3 linked regions of the Callithrix jacchus genome follow. The protein of the gene in region 1 interacts with the protein of each later gene in a pairwise test. Links are inferred from orthologs where the notes say so. Each region holds a gene or a part of one and is shown in the gene's direction. Other genes may lie near its edges.

The links.
Region 2: the proteins of MEOX2 (region 1) and GPATCH2L interact in binary tests that used the Homo sapiens proteins (3 or more experiments, as listed by UniProt). The two-hybrid records come from large-scale screens. The link is inferred for Callithrix jacchus from reciprocal best matches to the Homo sapiens genes MEOX2 and GPATCH2L.
Region 3: the proteins of MEOX2 (region 1) and EMD interact in binary tests that used the Homo sapiens proteins (3 or more experiments, as listed by UniProt). The two-hybrid records come from large-scale screens. The link is inferred for Callithrix jacchus from reciprocal best matches to the Homo sapiens genes MEOX2 and EMD.

Annotation. Positions count from the first base shown.
Region 1 is NC_133512.1:42,863,393-42,867,041, forward strand, and holds part of MEOX2 (homeobox protein MOX-2), read left to right. Parts: intron 1-2,947; coding exon 2,948-3,172; 3' UTR 3,173-3,649. UniProt on the Homo sapiens protein: Mesodermal transcription factor that plays a key role in somitogenesis and somitogenesis and limb muscle differentiation. Required during limb development for normal appendicular muscle formation and for the normal regulation of myogenic genes.
Region 2 is NC_133509.1:111,081,160-111,084,908, forward strand, and holds the start of GPATCH2L (G patch domain-containing protein 2-like), read left to right. Parts: upstream 1-1,321; 5' UTR 1,322-1,391; intron 1,392-3,712; 5' UTR 3,713-3,722; coding exon 3,723-3,749.
Region 3 is NC_133524.1:150,171,844-150,175,592, forward strand, and holds EMD (emerin), read left to right. Parts: upstream 1-1,250; 5' UTR 1,251-1,383; coding exon 1,384-1,465; intron 1,466-1,589; coding exon 1,590-1,697; intron 1,698-1,845; coding exon 1,846-1,923; intron 1,924-2,136; coding exon 2,137-2,270; intron 2,271-2,705; coding exon 2,706-2,752; intron 2,753-2,833; coding exon 2,834-3,161; 3' UTR 3,162-3,568; downstream 3,569-3,749. UniProt on the Homo sapiens protein: Stabilizes and promotes the formation of a nuclear actin cortical network. Stimulates actin polymerization in vitro by binding and stabilizing the pointed end of growing filaments. Inhibits beta-catenin activity by preventing its accumulation in the nucleus.

The DNA of each region.
Region 1 (3,649 bases):
AGAAAAATCCGAAGTAGTGAAATATCTCAGTTTAAACATTTCATTGTGAAAGCATACTGATGAAGCATTGTGATTTGAAGATCAGTGCTATAATTATGTCTTTGGAAATTTAATATATTTTTCTTCACTTTCTCCATAGCACTATTTACAGAAATTGAGATTATTTCTAAAATGAAAATAGAGAATATTCAAAATATTTCTAATGTAGAAGAATAAAACAGAACTATCCCTAGCAGATATAAAGGCTTATTATAAAATTATAATTAATAAGATAATGTGGTTTTATCATAACTATAGAAAAATTTTTCAAGAAACAAAACAGAATACAGCAATAAAGCTATGAATATATGGAAACTTGATTAATGAACAGATGAAACAGTGGTCACTGGGAAAAAAAAGGTGAGTTACTTAATAAATGGACCTGGGACAATGTGTTATCCATTTAAAATAAAGTCAGTTAAGCCTATTCTTCAGACTATATACTAAAATCAGTACTTCATGGATTAACTACTGCAATATGAAAGGCAAATGTATTTTCTTTTTGAGATAGGATCTCACTGTGTTGCCCAGGCTGGAGTGCAGTGTTATAACCACCACTCATGGCAACCTCAACCTCCTGGGCTCAAGCAATCCTCCCACCTCAGCCTCCCAAATAGCTGGGACTACAGGCACTGTGCCATCCCACCCAGCTAATTTTATTCTATTTTATTTATTTATTTGTAGACACAGGGTTCCACTGTGTTGGAAAAGGCAACCTTTAAAACTCTTACAAGACACAATAGAATATCTTAGTGGTCTCAAAAAAGAGATTTTTTTTTTTAAAAGGAAACACAAAAATACTAGTCATAAAAGAAACAACAGATAAATTTAAACGTATTAACATTAAGAGTTTCTGATTATCAAAAATACTCTAAGAAAAGGAAGAACAGCATTCATTAAACAAAGATAGATAGTGGCAGCCATGTAACTGCAGTCTCCAGGGAAGTTCGCATCATATGCCTATCAGAACATAAATGCAAGAATGTCTATGGCAGCATTACATACAGGAAAAAAAAGAATTCAAATATTCATGCACAGTAGAATGGAAAAATGGTGCTATATTGACAGAATTTGGAATATTATACAGTGATAAAAAATGAATAAGTACAGTCTCTTGAATCAACATAGATGTGGCAAAAAGCCTACACTTCAGAACATTCTGTTTTGATAAACCTAACAAACAAATAAAATTAAAGAATATATTTGTAATGTCACGTGTTATGAAAAAAGTTTGTTTTCTTTTTAAAGAAAGACTTGGAGATGATACCCAAAACTCAGGCTTGTGGTACTTTTAGGTGGTATAGACAGAGAAATACATTGTAAAAGAACACTTAGCTTACTAGAAGCTATAATCATGAGAAATGCAATGTGAAAGAAACAGATTTCCTCCTAAAAAAAGATGGAATAATTCCAGTAATATTCTAGTTCAGATAATAGACCTTTAATGTCTGTTGGTTGTTTTTGATATATATATATATAAATGCATTAGGCAAATTCAACAAAGCTTTTAAAAGGAAAATACATGTACAAAGCTGATATGAATGATGTAGTGTATAATCTCGGTGTTAGCATTTAACAATGTTGAGAATTTTATTACTGTGACCATATTTTAAGAAATCATTAGATCAAATATTTGCAAAGAAACATAAAAGAATTAAGGCAGAAAAGAAGACTAGTTCAAAAGAAGATAGGCTCGGTGTGAGGTGGAAATGGTCAAATAAAGTTTTGTGAAAACAGCAGTAGTTTCTTTTTGTTTTTTTTTTTTTGAACTTTTTTTAAATTATTATACTTTAAGTTCTGGGATACATGTAAAGAACATGCAGGTTTGTTACATAGGTATACACTTGCCATGGTGGTTAACTGCACCCATCTACCTGTCATCTAAATTAGGTATTTCTCCTAATGCCATCCCTCCCCTAGCCCCCCAACCCCCCACAGGCCCAATGTGTGATATTCCCCTCCCTGTGTCCTTGTGTTCTCATTGTTTGTCATCCACTTATGAGTGAGAACATTGGCTGGATAAAGAAAATGTGGCACATATACACCATGGAATACTATGCAGCATAAAAAAGGATGAGTTCATGTCCTTTGCAGGGACATGGATGAAGCTGAAAACCCTTATTCTCCACAAACTAACACAGAAACAGAAAACCAAGCAGCAGTAGTTTCTAATCATAGAGAATGGCCTTTCGGATACAGCTTAATCAGTAGCTCCAGGAGCATGTTTTATATTGGTTTAGGAAATGACAGCTAGACATCAAATCAAAGAACTTAGGAGTGAGGAGGCTTTGACCAAGACCAATATTATGCTAGCTCAATTCACGGAACCTCTATATAGACCCAAGTACTTTGAGTGACCTAAGTTTTTGTCTATTTCCATATTTTATATTGTGTGCTGTACAATACAAAATATAGTAGTTTGCACCTTTTGAAAGTTGAAAAATTATTGGCTGTGCATGGTGGCTCTCTTGTGTAATCCCAGCACTTTTGAAGGCTCAGGTGGGTGGATCACAAGGTCAGGAGATCAAGACCATCCTGGCCAACATGGTGAAACCCTTGCACTACTTAAAAAATTAAAAAAAATAGCCGGGTGTGGCAGTACATGCCGATAGTCCCAGCTACTTGGGAGGCTGAGGCAGGAGAATCGCTTGTACCTGGGATGTTGCAGTGAGCTGAGTTCATGCCACTGTTCCTCAGCCTGGGCAACACAGCAAGACTCTGTCTCCAAAAAAAACACTATCATGAACATGCAACCTGATTTAATTCAATGTGGATTTGTTTTTTTATTCACTCCTTCATGGTGTCTTTTTATGAGCTTTTGAAGAACTACTTTTCACTGATGACACTAAGGAGAATCAAAGTCATTTTAATTATTTTTTGTTTTGTTTGTTCCCTTTCTTTGCTGAAGGTGAAAGTCTGGTTCCAAAACAGGCGGATGAAGTGGAAGAGGGTGAAGGGTGGACAGCAAGGAGCTGCGGCTCGGGAAAAGGAACTGGTGAATGTGAAAAAGGGAACACTTCTTCCATCAGAGTTGTCTGGAATTGGCGCAGCCACCCTCCAGCAAACAGGGGACTCTCTAGCAAATGAAGACAGTCATGACAGTGACCACAGCTCAGAGCATGCGCACTTATGATACATACACAGAGGACCAACTCCATTCTCAGGAAAGAAATGTTGTGATGGCAAGCCTTACCCAAACATCGTTTACACAGAGAGATGACTATGGCAGTGATGTTTAATATTATTAAATCCAGGCATCTCGAATCTGTTTTCCATGATTTATAGAGGGTTTACACTAAGTGCCGCTTATTAAAAAGCTTCCACAGTGAAGATGGAGAAGGTGAACTTGCTTTGAATATTCCAGATGTGTTTGGTCGTGTGTATGGCAGTGAGCAGGTATGTGTTTGCTTTTGCTTGCACTGAAAATTAAATTGCTATCAAGACCAAACTATGAAACCTTTTTATTCAAGATGCCTCCAGAGTGAAGATACCGAAGATGAACTTGCATTGAACATTCCAGATGTGTGAGGTCATGTGTGTTACAGTGGGCAGGTATTTGCTTTTGCTTGCACTGAAAATTAAATTGCTATCAAGAATAAACCATGAAACA
Region 2 (3,749 bases), on another chromosome or scaffold:
GTTCTTTTTTAAATTGCAGTGTCACAGCCAGGATACCATATTACATTGTCATGTCTCCTTAGGCTCCTCCTGGCTCTGAGTTTCTCAGACTTTCCTTGCTTTTGCTGACCTTAACCATTTTGATGAATACTGATCATGCACTCTGCAGAATGTCCCTCAATTCAGGTTTGTCTGATTTTTCTTTTCTTTTCTTTTTTTTTGAGATGGAGTTTCGTTCTTGTTACCCAGGCTGGAGTGCAATGGCACGATCTCGCTCACCGCAACCTCCACCTCCTGCGTTCAGGCAATTCTCCTGCCTCAGCCTCCTGAGTAGCTGGGATTACAGCCACGTGCCACCATGCCCAGCTAATTTTTTGTATTTTTAGTAGAGACGGGGTTTCACCATGTTGACCAGGATGGTCTCGATCTCTTGACCTCGTGATCCACCCGCCTCGGCCTCCCAAAGTGCTGGGATTACAGGTGTGAGCCACCACGCCTGGCCTGATTTTTCTTTTCTTATAATTAGACTGGGGTTATGAGATATGGAAGGACACTATCATAAAGTGCCATTCTCATTACATATCATTCCACATACTATCAACATGATTTAGCACGTACTCTTGGTCACCTGGCTGAATTACTGTTTGCCAGGTATCCACTGTAAAATTACTCACTTTCCCCTTTTCATATGTTGTACTTTTGGGAAAGAAGTCAATATGCAGAGCCCACATTTAAGGAGGTGGAATTTATGCTCCAGGATGGTGTGTCTGCATACTTTGAGATTCTTCTGTGGGGGATTTGTTTCTTCTCCAATCTTTAATTCATTCAGTCGTTTATTTATATCGGTATGGATTCACGAATATTTCTTTTATACTTTGAGTTATAATCCAGTATCACTTGCTCAAGGCAGTTTGTAATGTTCTGAGTAACTCAGTGCAAAACAACCCCCCCAAAGGTTGTACCAGCTCACAGGGCAGATGTCATTAAGATCCATTTCCCCTCAACTTCGCACACCCTTTATAAAGGTCAGAAAGCAAGGGGGAAGCTGACAACCCTCCCTAGCGTCAATTTCTGGACGCCCCTAAGGAAGATGAGGCCAGCCTGCTGGAGTAGTTCCCAACACGGGCACCTCAGCCCCTGAGGCGCCCTTTCCCGGCCAGCCCCTATTCACCATCCTTCCTTGGTCCCTGCCCCATCTCCCGGCTTCCTGCAGCCCCGCCCACCTCAGGGCGGAAGTGGGTGTGGCCACGGGCGGAAGCACTGGGTCGGGGGCCCGCTCTTGCAGCCAGCCCCACCCACTCGCCGCCGCCCCACCCCTCCGGCCCAGAACGGAAATGAGGTCAGAGAGGGAAACCCCGGCGGTGAGAATCGGCCCAAAAAGCGGCGGCCGTTCGAGGTGGCTGCGGCAGCTGGTGAGGGGGTGGAGTGGGTTGAGAGTGTTGGGGTCCTGAGGGCTAGGGCCATAGGGGATCGGATCGCCAAGCAGCGGCTGAGCGGCTAAGGGCGTCTTGGGGCTGCGGCAGCCGGCCGGAGGGTGAGGGTGGTGGGGCCTTGCTTTTTCAGGGCCCATGTCCCTATCCCTGGGGGTGTGGGTCGGACAGTCTCCGGGGCCACAGCCCCCTTTTCCCCTTTCTTTCTGCCTCTTTGGGGCTGGCGGCAGCATGAGGGCTTGGGAAACGGGCCATGGTCGCTCCAGCCCTCAGGGACGGGCCGGGGCGTGGTGGAGAGTCCTTCGAAAACAGTTTTTCTCACATACGTGGCCATGTTGCGACCCCCGATCCCGGAGGGAGCTCAGTCGCTACGACTTCCATTTTGGCAGTTTCTGCTCTAGAATAGCCGAACCCCGTCCTTGGTGAGCCCAAATGAGAAGTTGTCTCCTGCCTCTCGCATCTCCTACTCCGCCCCTCACTTCCACCCTGCTCCTGCCTCTCTTCTTACTTGCTGTCCGCAACTACCAGTTCCTTCCTGTGCGTGACTCAGCCTCATCTCTACCCGGGTGCATGCCTGGTCGCCGAGTCCTCTCGAGAGTGTGCACTCGACTGGAGATGGAAGCCCTAGGGACCTTCTGTCACCTACTGTTCGAGTTGCAGGCTTTGATGCAGGAAAGGATTCTGCACAGGCATTCGACTACTGACTTCGTTCCCTGTTCAAGTTTGTGCTGTTCTGAGGTTTTTGTTTGTACTTTTGTTTTTGTATTTTTGTCGCCTGAGTTTTTAAAGCAGTAATTCTTTATTAGGGAAGTGGATTTAGGCATGCTGTTCCCACTTGTTTCTCTATTTTGGTCTTAGGGACAGTTGTCTCCCAAACCTCAATCATGGCATTTTTAACCAGCTCCCCCCCCCCCATTTTTTTTCTCCTCTTTTCACAGGTGTTGATAAATCACTTCTTATTGCTTAAAAGAACTTGGCCTTTTAAAAGTGTATGTGCCTTTGGACAGTTTGAGAAGCTTTGTTTGTATGGCAGTTTTGGAAGTAGGTGTCACCATTGCTCCTAAAGGTGTGGCAGATAAGCCAGAGGACTGTTTTCCTGCCTTTAAATTCATTGACGTAGGCACGGCATGAAAATAGTATTTAGAAAACGCTTTGCAAAGTGAAAACTGAATGAATGGAAATATGGTCAGAGTGGCACCACATAGAGTTTTAAGCTCTAGTTTTGATCTTGAAATACTTTGGGCACAGGGGCAACGAAAAAAGTGCTAAAAATTTAATATGTATTTAATTAGGTGCTGTACAAATTATATTAAACATTTCCCCTTAAGAGGGAATTTTGAAGATTGCTCCTACTGCTCTCGTTTCTTGAAATGTTTGCCTCTGAAGTGACTCCTGAAGTGTGATGTTTGGTTTGAGGATGGATAGAAAAATAAGAAATTTTGGAAAGCAGTTCGGCCAGAAATCTTAGAAACTTCAACTTATCCCTGTCATTTCAGCTGCTGTCGTATCATTTTTTTCCAGTGATTGTGTGGCACTGAAGCACATAAGTAGGATGAACATTTATTTTCTGAAGGATAGGAAAGGGGCTTAAAAATTGTTAATTACTCAGAAATATATGACATACTATATGAGGTTCTATACCTGGTAGCTTTCAGGTGGTAGTTGCTACCAGAATGGGTGCAAACTTAGTCTATTCTCCTTTCTGACTTCAAACCTGGGCACCACAATTTCTTGGATCACAAAAACTGCAGTCTTCTTTAAAGGGTGTCACTAAGTTGTCTTTCTGCCATGGCCATGGAAGGCAGTGACCCCAGGCCAAAGAGCAGTTTTTTATTCATTCTTAATACTCGTTGAGACTGTGTCCTGCTCTGTGTTTCCACAGCTCTGCTGTGATTTTGAAGTTGTGTGTTTTTCTACTCCTGTCTAATGACAATCTCTAATCTTTCTGGATCTCATCATTAGGTAATTCAGTGACACGTTTAATTGGGGAAAGAGAGACGGGTCTAGTTCCCCAAATTTGTTTTGGGTCCTGTCCCAGTTGTCATCTGGTGAGCAGGTTTTTGTGCTTAAGGATATGTTGACTTCAGTCATTTAACAAGGGACAGAACACCTATTTTTAGTGACTTAAGGAAGTGGTAGGAACAGAATCTAAGTGTAGCCAGATGAAAGGTTACTTACTTTGTTTAGGCAGGCGGAACTATGGACTACTATGATCTGTTTTATCAAATTATTCCAAAACAACAGATCCTTTCAGGCTCTCTTTTTCTTTTTCTTTTTTTCCCCTCTGAACTTCCTTTTGGGAGATGTGGCCTCATGGATGAGCTGGTACACGACTTAGCA
Region 3 (3,749 bases), on another chromosome or scaffold:
CCTCTTCTCCATTCTCCGTAGGGCAGCCCTTATCTGATCAAGGTCCTGGGAATCCTAGCCACAGTCCAGGCTCCTGAGCAGGCCTTGGCAGCCCTTCCATAGCTCGACACCCACGTCTGCCCCCTGCCGGGCTATGCTGGGCTCAGGGGCCATTCCGACAGAAGAGGAAGCCCCACTTCAGCTCCCGCCAGTGCCCCGGGTGAATGAACGACATGAAGCGTTAGGCTGGACACACGTCATCTCTGCACACATCGCACAGCGCCCTCTGTCCGCGCTCACTGGCGTGCTCGCTGGCTTGCCCGGGCCCCTTCGAAGGCTGCTTGCTCCTGGAGTGCCGGCGGCCTCCTGGCCCAGTGCCCCATTTCCTCCCGGGTGGAGCGAGGTAGGAGAAAAGGAAGGAGGGAGGCGGTGGGAAGCAGCGAGCATATGTGCACGGGCGACAGCCCTGCAGACTGGGAAGGTGGGCCCGTGGCAGGGGGTCTGCGAGGACCGCGTAGGCGCGGGCCTTGCCCCACAGCCGCTTCCCAGGTGATGCGCACACAAAGCTCCCTCAGTAGTGCCTAGCCCGGGGCCGGCGCTCCCTTAGGGTTCAGACCCTTCCCGCCGCTGCTGGGGCGGCCGACCCGGATGCGGCCGGGGAATCCTACGCCCTGGGGCCACGGGAAAGGGGACCAGGGCGTAGAGAAGGGATGTGCTGGGACGGTGGGGAGCCCAAGTGACTTAGGGACCAGAGCCACCGCTAGCGCCCACTTAGGCCGCTCTCACTTCCCGGCCGGCAGATGCCGGGTGTTAGACACACAGGCCCCGCCCCTCTCTACCGACTGGCTCACGCACGCCTCAAGGTGACGTCTAGGCTCCCAGCCGCACCGCCCAGACTCCCGTGCGGGCCCCACCCCCAACAGCTCCGGGCGTTAGTGACGTACGGACTCGCGACCCCGCTCGCTCCCACCGCGACACCTTCTGCTCCGCTCCCGCGCGGGCCCCGCCCCCTCCATCGCTAGCCAATCCGTGTGTTTGTGACGTTGGGCTTGCGGCCCCGCCCACTCCCACCGCGAGACTGATTCCCACTGTCCTGACTCTCGGCGCGGGCCCCGCCCCGTCCGCCGCTAGCCAATCCGTGCGTTTATGACGTTTGGACTCACTGCCCCAGCCTCCCAGCTCCCAAGGCCCGGCCGTTCTGCGCCTGCTGCTCCCGCCGTTAAGCCCCTCCCCGCACAGCGCGCGCAGCCTGCGGAGCCCGAGGCCGTGACGAGACAGTGATTTGGCTGTGACGCGAGCGCGATCGCTCCCGAGGCGCTCGTGCCGCCCCCGCCGTGATCCTCGGCAGCCGCTGCTCGGCGGGTTTTGGCAGGGGCCCGGCTTCCGCCCGCGCCCGCACCCGCCATGGACGACTACGCGGGTCTTTCGGATACCGAGCTGGCCGCCGTGCTGCGCCAGTACAACATACCTCACGGGCCAGTTGTCGGTACGCGGCGGCGGGCAGGACCTGCCCCCGGGCCCCCTCCCCGCGCTCTGCCCCGCGCCCTCCCCGCCACCCTACCCGCGCGCCTTCCCCGGCTTGTGGCCCTGACCGCCTCGTGTCCGGCCAGGGTCTACTCGTAAGCTTTACGAGAAGAAGATCTTCGAGTACGAGACCCAGAGGCGGCGGCTCTCGCCCCCCAGCTCGTCCGCCGCCTCCTTCTCCTATCGCTTCTCTGGTGAGAGCCTCGCTTGTGGGGACCGGGCCTGGGATGCGGGGAGATCGGGGTCGCGAGGGTGTGGCAGGGGCGCCGGTCGAGAGCGGCACCGGGGAGAGGGGAGGGAAGCCTGGGGGGCAAACAGTTCTGTCGCCTCCCTTCAATCCAGACTTGAATTCGCCGTCAGTGGATTCAGATATGTATGATCTTCCCAAGAAAGAGGACGCCTTACTCTACCAGAGCAAGGGTAAGGCAGGGGTGGGGTGGGCACGCTGGCACGTTCACCTGACTGCGTCAGGGACCCCGCTCACAGGGAGGACCTGAGACCTCAGCCCCAACCACTCCAGCAGCCTTAGGAGGGAGAAACTGTCACAGGTCCCGAAAGAGATTCAGATTAGGGCCAGCAGGCCAGGTGGGGCACACCGATGCCCCCTCTGCTACCGCTGCCCCCCTTCCCAAGGCTACAATGACGACTACTATGAAGAGAGCTACTTAACTACCAGGACTTATGGGGAGCCCGACTCTGCGGGCCAGTCCAGGGGCTTCCGCCAGTCTGCGACTTCACTCCCAGATGCTGACACTTTCCACCACCAGGTGAGCTGGCTGGCAGGTGCCCTGTACTTGAGTACAATCTAGGGGATGGCGGCTGTGTTTGGATAAATCCAGGGGGCCACTGGATACAAATGGTGGCTTCTGTGCTTCTGGGGAGACTGGCTCAGCAGACGCCTGTTTGGCCAGGTCCCTACTTTGGGGAGCCATCAGAACTGTGACTAGAGCACCCTGGTCTGCAATCTAGGCTCAAGCTTTTCCTGAGACTCCTGGGGGCAAAAGGGAATAGCAGGGCATGAGCACAAGTGACAAGACCCCACAAACAAAAGACTGAACACCAAGAGCCATTCGGGAGGGTGTGGGTCCCTGGCCTCTAACCAAAGGTCAGAGGGCACCAGCTGGGGAAGTTTGGACTGAGGGATGTGGCAGGGCCATGGTGGCCCTGCCAGTCGGTCCACTCACCCTGACTCTCTTCTGCAGGTGCGTGATGACAATCTTTTGTCTTCTGAAGAGGAGTGCAAGGATAGGTACGTAGAGGGCAGGCCCAGGAACAGGGACTGGTTCTGCACCCAGGCTCCTGGCCCACCTGCTCCCCTCTTTTGCCTCAGGGAACGTCCCATGTACGGCCGGGACAGTGCCTACCAGAGCATCGCGCACTACCGCCCTGTTTCAGCCTCCAGGAGCTCCCTGGGCCTATCCTATTATCCTACCTCCTCCTCCACCTCTTCTGTGTCCTCATCTTCATCTTCCCCTTCATGGCTTACCCGCCGAGCCATCCGGCCAGAAAAGCATGCTCCTGGGGCTGGGCTTGGCCATGATCGCCAGGTCCCGCTCTGGGGCCAGCTGCTGCTTTTCCTGGTCTTTGCGATCTTCCTCTTCTTTGTTTACTACTTCATGCAGGCGGAGGAAGGCAACCCCTTCTGGAGGGAGCCCTGAGGGTCTGGGCTTCAGAGCCAGCTCTTCTGGGGAAGTCCTGGCTGATGGCCTTAGCAGTGAGGGTGGGGGTGGGGGTGGGGGTGGGGGCTTTTGTGTGTGTTCTCGCTTGGGGGGCGCTGGCCCAGCCCAGAGTAGTGCTTGCTCCCCTGCCTTGTCCCACCAGGGAGGCAGCAGACTCAAGCCCTCCATGATCTGGGGGACCTGGGTGTGCTTTCCTCTCTAGCCTCCTGGCCCTGCTTGCCTGTAACCCTTAGGGTCCAGGAGGGCAAGGCCTCGCTCCATCAGAGAACATGGTTATTGTTGTTGTCATGCATGCCTCCTTTTAGTTGTCATCTTGAGGGGATTAACCAAAGGCCACCATGACTTTGTTTTCGTGGACACACAATAAAAACCCCATTTATTTTTAATGTGTTGACTCTTCCTGGAGGAGAGGGTTGGGTTCCCATGGCAAGGGCATCTGGCCTTGCTGGGTCTGCATTTTGGCTTTGGTCTGGGGATAGGAATCAATTGCTACCCAGAAATGTTTGTGTTTTGTTTGGGAGTTTTATTCCCTGACTCATTCCCCAAAGCACGTGTAACTGCTTATAC